Caenorhabditis elegans: one gene and its partner. The protein of the gene in region 2 interacts with the protein of the main gene of each other region in a pairwise test. Each region holds a gene or a part of one and is shown on either strand. Other genes may lie near its edges. The genes, in order: ndc-80 and rod-1.

Region 1 (3,924 bases), 2.6 Mb from region 2:
ATGTGTATATTATTAACATTCAATGGAACGGCGCTTAATTCGAGTACAACTTACTCTGCGGTAACTGCTTTATTTGAAAATCTTGACTGTTCAGTCTCAAGCTCAAGCTTTCTCTGATGCAACTGTCGGCTGATCTCTGGAACCCATATCTTGTTCAACGTCTCCCAGTAATCCTTAAGATCTCTGAAAATGTAGATTTGTGAATTTTTAATAAATTGTTAGAAATTTACCTTTCATTCGTTGGAGCTCTTAGTGGTTCAAGATTCATTTGAATATTAAGTCCACTGAGAATTTTCATGATTTGTTCTGCGAGATGAATGAATTTGGACTTTTGCTGAAACATACAAATTTGATTGTCATACAAGTATTTCCGTGAATGATAGGCATTCAACTTTCCAAAAACCTAGAATACCTCTTTGAAGAAGTCTTCATCTTTGAGTTTCCATGTTTCTTTTGATAGACGATCCAACTCGCTTTGAATTTCCAGTACCACCTCCTTGTCTTTATTATTGTCAAGATTCATTTGACGCACTTCTTTTCCTGTCAATCCGTGAATTTGTTTTTGCAACTCAATTTTGTTCTTCAGATCGTCCACCATCTTTTGCACTTTTTCATTTTCTGAAATTTTCTCCTCTTGCTCCGACTTCACCATAGCCAGTTCTTTCTCCATATGCTGCTTAACATGAAGATTTTGCTCGAGATAATCTTTAGCTTTTCGGATGTCGTCTCTGATTCTTGATATCTCTTCTTTTAAGCTTGCTTCGTTTCCTTTCTGAAAATAAAACTTCTTTAAAACAAAAGTATCGAAATTCTACTTACATCAGCCTCTATCTCATCACATTCGTAATTGAGCATCTCCAGAGCTGATGCAGCTGTTTTAGTCATATCCTCGAATTCATTGGATTGCTCGAAATACTTCCGTAGACGATGCTTCGTGTCGTCCCAGTATGAAGAACTGGGATTTTCTGCTGCTTTTCGATCATTTGTATAATCTCTGAATGTACTTGTCATCCATGCATAATTGAGCGTTTTTTCTTGAGCTTTTCCCTGTTCCATGAAATCACCGAACAGGATATTTTGTGTGTCCTCACTGACAGCAGAATTGATCTAAATGGTTAAATAAATAGGGATGAAAATAATAAAAAAATCAGTTACTAACTCTAATGATATCAATAAGCCAAGAAAGTGCGTCAAGAAGATGTGGATATCCATGAGAAGATCCCATTGGTTGGTAGTAGCTGTTTTTGAGTGGATACGGGTATCCAAGACCTTTGAATATCTGGGACACCTCCTCTTCAATCCGCTCATGCCGTGGAAATTCGTAGTCTTTACTGAGATGTTGGTAAATTAATTCGAAACAAGCAATGAAATCATTCTTTCCACGAGGTTTCATAATGAGCTGTTCTGATGGTGCATCCGAGCTTTCATATTCCACAAGAAAGTTGTAAATTTTGCTTCCATTTAAGCTGACCAATGATTTCACATCTCGCGGAGCAACTGATGAATTTTTAGTATTAAACAATGACACACGAGGTTGACTCAGACTGGGGCGAGCGTCAGTTCTGCAAATTAGATTAGTTCTTCATCGCACGAAATTGGATATTTTTACTTTCTGACTGATGTTGATCCAGTATAATCGGTGAATCTTTTAGTCGGAGTGATAGCGATTGAGGCACGTCCGTTGAGATTCAAGCCGCCCGTTTTTCTTCGATCTCCAAACATTGTCAAGAAACTGTAATGAGCGAATAAAATTGACCAGAACTGAATATACTAACGGAAGGCGACGCATATAAAATTTAAAAAAATAATTCTGGCAACTATTGAGAACTTTGTTTTCCAACTTAAAGAAGAAAAAACATTTTTACAGAAATATTTATGAAAAAAAAAACGAAAATAGAAATTTGAGTAAAAACAATATCGAGAGAGAGAGAGAGAAGTCACATTTGAATTTTCCCGCTATAGCAATTGTGATTGGAGCGCACTTACATTACAGAGACGCTGCACTCGCGAGGAAACTGATTTCCGGAGATTCCAGAATGAAGGAATTGTTGGAACTTTTGAGATATAATTTCAAACACGATTAATATACAATAGAATTGAATTTTCCTACAATGGTTAGATCATTTCCAGTCGGTATATTGATAAACAGAAGTTGCCCCTTAATATTTGCATTTTTGTAATTGAAGTTTCCAGCCAATAATTACGTCAAATTTTTTTTCTTCGAGAAACTGATATAGTTTACAATAATAAACCAGTATCTTTAACCAATGGAGTGATAACACAGAACTGGATCCTCTTATTCTTTCTCTTTTCTTTCTCCTTAACAAGAACAATTATACCAGTTCCAAGTAATAGCCATGGACGTCTCTAGTATAAAAACATCAGTTCTTTTGGAATTCTTCAGTCCATCACTCACCCTCCAACAGTAATCATGGACATCGACGCTCGTATCAAAGCTTATAAATTTGTTGCCTATTCGGCAGTCACCTTCTCGGTTGTCGCCGTTGTCTCTGTTTTCATCACATTGCCAATGGTTTATAACTATGTTAATAATGTGAAGAAACAGATTCACACTGATGTTAATTTCTGCAAGGTTTCTGCTCGTGATATCTGGAGTGAGGTGCATCTTATTAAGGATGCTCCAGGAAACAATACTCGTGTTGCTCGTCAAGCTTATTCCACTGGAGGAGCTGGAGGAGGCGGAGGCGGAGGTAAGGATCTTGGTTCACAGAGTTTAAGTATTTGAATACATTTTCAGGCGGCGGAGGATGTGATGGATGCTGCAATCCTGGACCACCAGGACCAGGTGGATCTCCCGGAAAACCAGGAAAGCCAGGAAAGCCAGGAGCTCCAGGAGCCCCAGGAAATCCAGGAAAAGGAGCATCAGCTCCATGTGAGCCAGTTACTCAACCACCATGCCAACCATGCCCAGGAGGACCACCAGGACCAGCTGGTCCAGCCGGACCACCAGGACCACCGGGACCAGATGGAAACCCAGGATCACCAGCCGGACCATCAGGCCCAGGACCAGCCGGACCACCAGGACCAGCAGGACCAGCCGGAAACGACGGAGCCCCAGGAGCCCCAGGAGGACCAGGAGAACCAGGAGCATCCGAGCAAGGAGGACCAGGAGAGCCAGGACCAGCTGGACCACCAGGACCAGCCGGACCAGCCGGAAATGACGGAGCCCCAGGAACCGGAGGACCAGGACCAGCTGGACCAAAGGGACCACCAGGAGCTGCTGGAGCACCAGGAGCTGACGGAAACCCAGGAGGACCAGGAACCGCTGGAAAGCCAGGAGGAGAAGGAGAGAAGGGAATCTGCCCCAAGTATTGTGCTATCGACGGAGGAGTCTTCTTTGAGGACGGAACCCGACGCCGCTAAATTTAGAAGCGTGCCGTTTGTGCCAAATAAAGCATTTTTCATTCAACTTCTTTGTTTATAACATCTACATACCACACGAAGAAATATTTTTAAAAACGTAATCCTCGAAATATGTTCAATAATTTTCCATTTTCAAAATTTCCGTTTATTTCTCAATATTTCAATATAACATCTGAGGGGTGTTCAAGCAAAATAATGTGCTTGTATTCACAAATATCAATTATTCTGTTTTTATTCTGGTCGTTAATGTTACAACTCATCATTGGAACGACTTGTGTCTCTAAAAATTCACAGAAGAGGTAGGTCAATATTTAAAAAAAAAACATCAAAGAGTTAATAAAATTAAGTAAGAGTTCTCGAGAAACGACGTCATCTGAAAGAGCATGTAAACCAGCGGCAACGTCAAAATCTTCATTGATTTCTGAGAAAAGTGAGAGGAGATTATCGAGTGAAAAAAGTATGAAAAAGGAGAAAATCACAGTGTAAGATTCAATATCCAATATAATTATATCTTGAAACTGTTCAGAATTGATTCTCTAA
Region 2 (3,924 bases):
TAACTTAATCACTTGGCCAGAGATTTTGCCATTTCATCGGCCTTGGTCGAGGCAGCTACCACAGCTTCCATAACAGCGTAACGGAATCCGTTCTTCTCAAGTGCCCGAACACCTTCAATCGTTGTACCGCCAGGGGAGCAAACCATATCTTTGAGGGATCCAAAGTGCTGAGTTTCAATATCAAATCCAGAGTTCGAATTGAGCACCATTTGAGCTGCTCCGAGTACTGCTTGAGCAGCTAATCTTTTAGCCTCTGCTCGTCCGAGCCCTTGTGCGACGGCTCCATCTGCCAGTGATTCGATGTACATAAATGTCCATGCAGGACTACTCCCTCCAATAGCCATTGCCGGGTTAAAGCATCTTTCTGGGATAAGTTCGACAGTTCCAACACACTCGGCGAACTCGCGTGCCAATTCGATGTGAGAATCTTGATTCATAATTTTTTCATTCTTTTCATAGCACATCGTCGAGGCGCCGGCTCCAATAGAACTTGCTACATTTGGCATCAAACGAACAATGGTAGTGTTTCCCGAAACGAATGGCAACTGGAAAAATGTTATGTACAGCAAATTATGATTTCTAAAATTATTTTATAACTGCTTATAGTAATCACCTTCGCGTTGAGAACTTTTAATGGAACTCCAGCCATTACAGAAATAATAAATTCTGGTCTTGAGTTTACAGGCCAGCTTGACACAACTTCTTCGAAAACTTGAGGTTTCACACAAATCACATAGATTGCCGTCGAATATCTTTCCAGCATTTCCAGTGTGTTTGTGAAAACGTTTTTATATCCTAGTTGCCTCCATTTCTCAGCCGATTTTTCCGTTTGAACGCCAATTACAATATTGCTTTTCGGTGTAAAGCCTAAAAATTAGAAAACAATTTAATTCAAATCAACGAGGAGAACAATTTTTTAACTCACCTTTATTCTGGCATCCTTTTATAATTGCAGCGGCCATATTTCCACCTCCGATGAACACGAATGGCACAGACTCTGAGGACCCGTTTGTCAATTCAGTATCGATAGTCATGGTTTTGACTGAAATCAATAATAATTGTTTTTGACACAACAAAAAGCAACATATTAAAAAAAAAAGAAGAAGACATGAGCAGAGGTTTGCCCGCTTAACGAGATTCTGTTTCTCAACTGCGTCTCTGTGCGTTTAACATATAACTGGGTTCTATTTTATGTCTCTTGTTAGACGTCTAGACGTCTAAGTCTCCATTTATATAAAAGTTACAATAAGATATATTATGGTACATGCTGGGATCATTTTAGTACCGAAATTGACATGAAAAACTAGTATTCTATAAAAATTTGTATCTTAAAACCGTGAAAGGCACAGAAAGTCACCTAGATGATTATTTTGTCATCATTCCAGAGGCCGTATAGATAATAAAATATATTTGTCATCGGTTCAGTTTTGTCATCCTGCTCTGGAAAATAATTCAAAACGTTCAAACCACGAACAAAACAGTAGGAACAGGTGAAACACAGAAAATAAACACTTCAAAATTTCTTTAAAAAATGTAAAATTATTTTATTTATGATAAAAACTTGAAACATCTGAGCAGATACGGTAGACATATTAAAGGCGCATGCTGAATATTGGAGATGGGTTTTGGGACGAAAAACTACGGTCTTTTTTCGCCTGCCCGCGCAAATTTTAGGCGCGAATTTCTCTATATTTACACGAATCTTAATTCTTTTGGATATCATTTTAATTTTCAGTTATTTTCTCGCCTCATCCTAATAAATCGTTTCAGACTATTTATTTTTGATAAATATAGTGAAATTTCTGAATTTAAAGAAGTTTTCCGGTCTAAAATTACGTTTAAAAAAGCTGTATAGTTAGGAACACGTAATTTCCACGTTTCGATCAATTTTTACTGAATGTGTTAATTGTTTTTCATTATTTAATTTTTGTTCAACACAGTTAAAGGTAAGGAAATGTATGAGATTTGAAACGCTTTTCGTGTTTAGTTATTGGTTTTTTGCTTCAAAATTCAACTATTTGGTTCAAAAAAGTCTTGTTTCTCTCACTCTAACACTTGGAAATTGCGCCCTGCTGACACTTATTTCGGCGGCGAAAAACATTTTTTGAAATGAAATTGTTCACTCATTTTTATAATCGTTCTTCTGTTAAATTTTTTAATTAGAGATACCAGTGTATTATAATGTCGTATTTGCAGAATGGGTCGCCTAGGCGAAGCAAAAGCTGTGGACTTGGAAGCGGAAACGTCGACTGTGGGCCTTTATGATGTGTGCACCGTTGGGCGAATCCTTCCCCGTAAGAAAATAAAACTATTATCTTTATGATTAATGTAATTAAATGTATGTTTCAGTGTTAAATGAGATGTCAATCGATAAGAAATCTCCGGCATGGAAGCTCAAACCGAAAAGTAACGAGCGATTTCTTGTTCTTGCGTCGTGCTCCGATCTGGCAGTCTTCAGTCTTGGCGAGAAAAGCGACTACTCGTTCAACACCGGACTTGGAGGTATGAGCTATTTCAGAGTCTCTGGAATGATTTCTCAACATTTTCAGGAGCCATCACTGATTTCGAAATCCTTGGAAGTTCTTCCTTCTTTGTTGGAGTCATTGAACATCGTCGTATTGTAATTCTCTCGCTGGATAAACAAGAAATTTACTTGAACGAGCCAGCTCCTCATGAAATTGACTTCGTTGTCTGTCACACTACTTCCAGTGTTTGCCAATTGATTTTCGGGAGCCGATCTGATAATTGGCATACTATCACATTGCCAGGAGACGTGGCTGCATCTAAGGAGACTAACCGTTTCGAAAATTGGCACAGAGATCAGATTCAGGAATTTTTCCACCAGGTAACGCTCATCACATTCATTTAAAGTTTCAAATTAATTTTAATACTCTCTTTTCAGGCAATGGGAAAAACGGTTTCAAAGTCTGTTGACATGTCGAAGGTCGCAGGTGACATTACTCTGATCTCCAATGGGCCACTTCAGACGTTCGCTTCAATTGATCAGCAAAGAGGGATTCACTGGTGTGGTCTCGTCGAATCGGAGTTTGAGGTGATTGGCATGGAAAAACAATTCTTGCAAGTCCGTGATGGAGGTAGATTCTCTCTTCACCTCGACACGGATGGATGGATTCATGTCTTTGATTCATTGGTATCATCCTTCTGCCACGAATTTGACATGAAGATGTCTCCAGACGACAAAATTCTTGATTTTGTGATCATTGACAAGAATGAAGTTGAAGTTCCGAAGATGTTCGCAATTTTGGTTCTGCCACGTGACGGAGATAGCACAAAGGTATTTGAATCGTATTTGTTAAATTTTAATAATTTCTTTTTAGATGATGATATACGATCGATTGAATAAAGACAATTGTTTCGCTTTGGATTCATCCACGTCTACAACTCTTTTTGCTTATGGAGGAAGTGATCGTGTCTTGATAGCCGTTGAAGAATTGGAAAATTCTCTGGCAGACGAACAGGACGGCAGTCAAATTGTTGTCAGACAAGTCTCACAGTCTCGCCCTGAAATGCGTTTCGAATCTCTTCTGAAGAATAACAGATTTGAAGAAGCTGAGAAGTTCGCCATGGCATTCATGCTGGATGTACAAAAGGTTTACAAAGGACACGTACATTATCTGATGGACTCTTGTGATGAAAGCGATGAATCTTTTGAGACTCTGATGACGAAGATGGGACAAATTCAAGATCATAATATGGTTGCTGAAACATACTTCACTCTTGTTGGAATGAGTCGGCGCTGTGATCGTATCCGCACCTACTTGACTCATGCAAAGAAGCGCAGAATAACGGATCTGGATATTCTGAAAATGATTGAGGCACTTTGCTACACGTGGGGAACTTATCGAATCATTGCTGGTCCAGAAGAAAACGAACCAAGTCGTCCACAAGTTAATGAAACGATTT

The links.
Region 1: the proteins of rod-1 (region 2) and ndc-80 interact in a two-hybrid assay, tested with the Caenorhabditis elegans proteins (one study listed by BioGRID).

Annotation. Positions count from the first base shown.
Region 1 is NC_003282.8:10,083,945-10,087,868, reverse strand, and holds the start of ndc-80 (Kinetochore protein ndc-80), read right to left. Parts: upstream 1,733-3,924; 5' UTR 1,723-1,732; coding exon 1,610-1,722; intron 1,563-1,609; coding exon 1,160-1,562; intron 1,108-1,159; coding exon 820-1,107; intron 773-819; coding exon 413-772; intron 335-412; coding exon 231-334; intron 184-230; coding exon 55-183; intron 1-54. Other genes in the region: col-2 (Cuticle collagen 2), read left to right, coding at 2,432-2,711, 2,759-3,384; W01B6.8 (uncharacterized protein), read left to right, coding at 3,496-3,683, 3,732-3,866, 3,911-3,924. UniProt on the Caenorhabditis elegans protein: Acts as a component of the essential kinetochore-associated ndc-80 complex, which is required for chromosome segregation in mitosis and meiosis and spindle checkpoint activity.
Region 2 is NC_003282.8:7,476,256-7,480,179, forward strand, and holds the start of rod-1 (Kinetochore-associated protein rod-1), read left to right. Parts: upstream 1-2,196; 5' UTR 2,197-2,197; coding exon 2,198-2,294; intron 2,295-2,349; coding exon 2,350-2,502; intron 2,503-2,549; coding exon 2,550-2,845; intron 2,846-2,902; coding exon 2,903-3,295; intron 3,296-3,338; coding exon 3,339-3,924. Other genes in the region: pycr-4 (Putative pyrroline-5-carboxylate reductase 4), read right to left, coding at 9-545, 614-867, 926-1,034. UniProt on the Caenorhabditis elegans protein: Essential component of the mitotic checkpoint, which prevents cells from prematurely exiting mitosis. Required for chromosome segregation, the assembly of the dynein-dynactin and mdf-1-mdf-2 complexes onto kinetochores and spindle pole separation.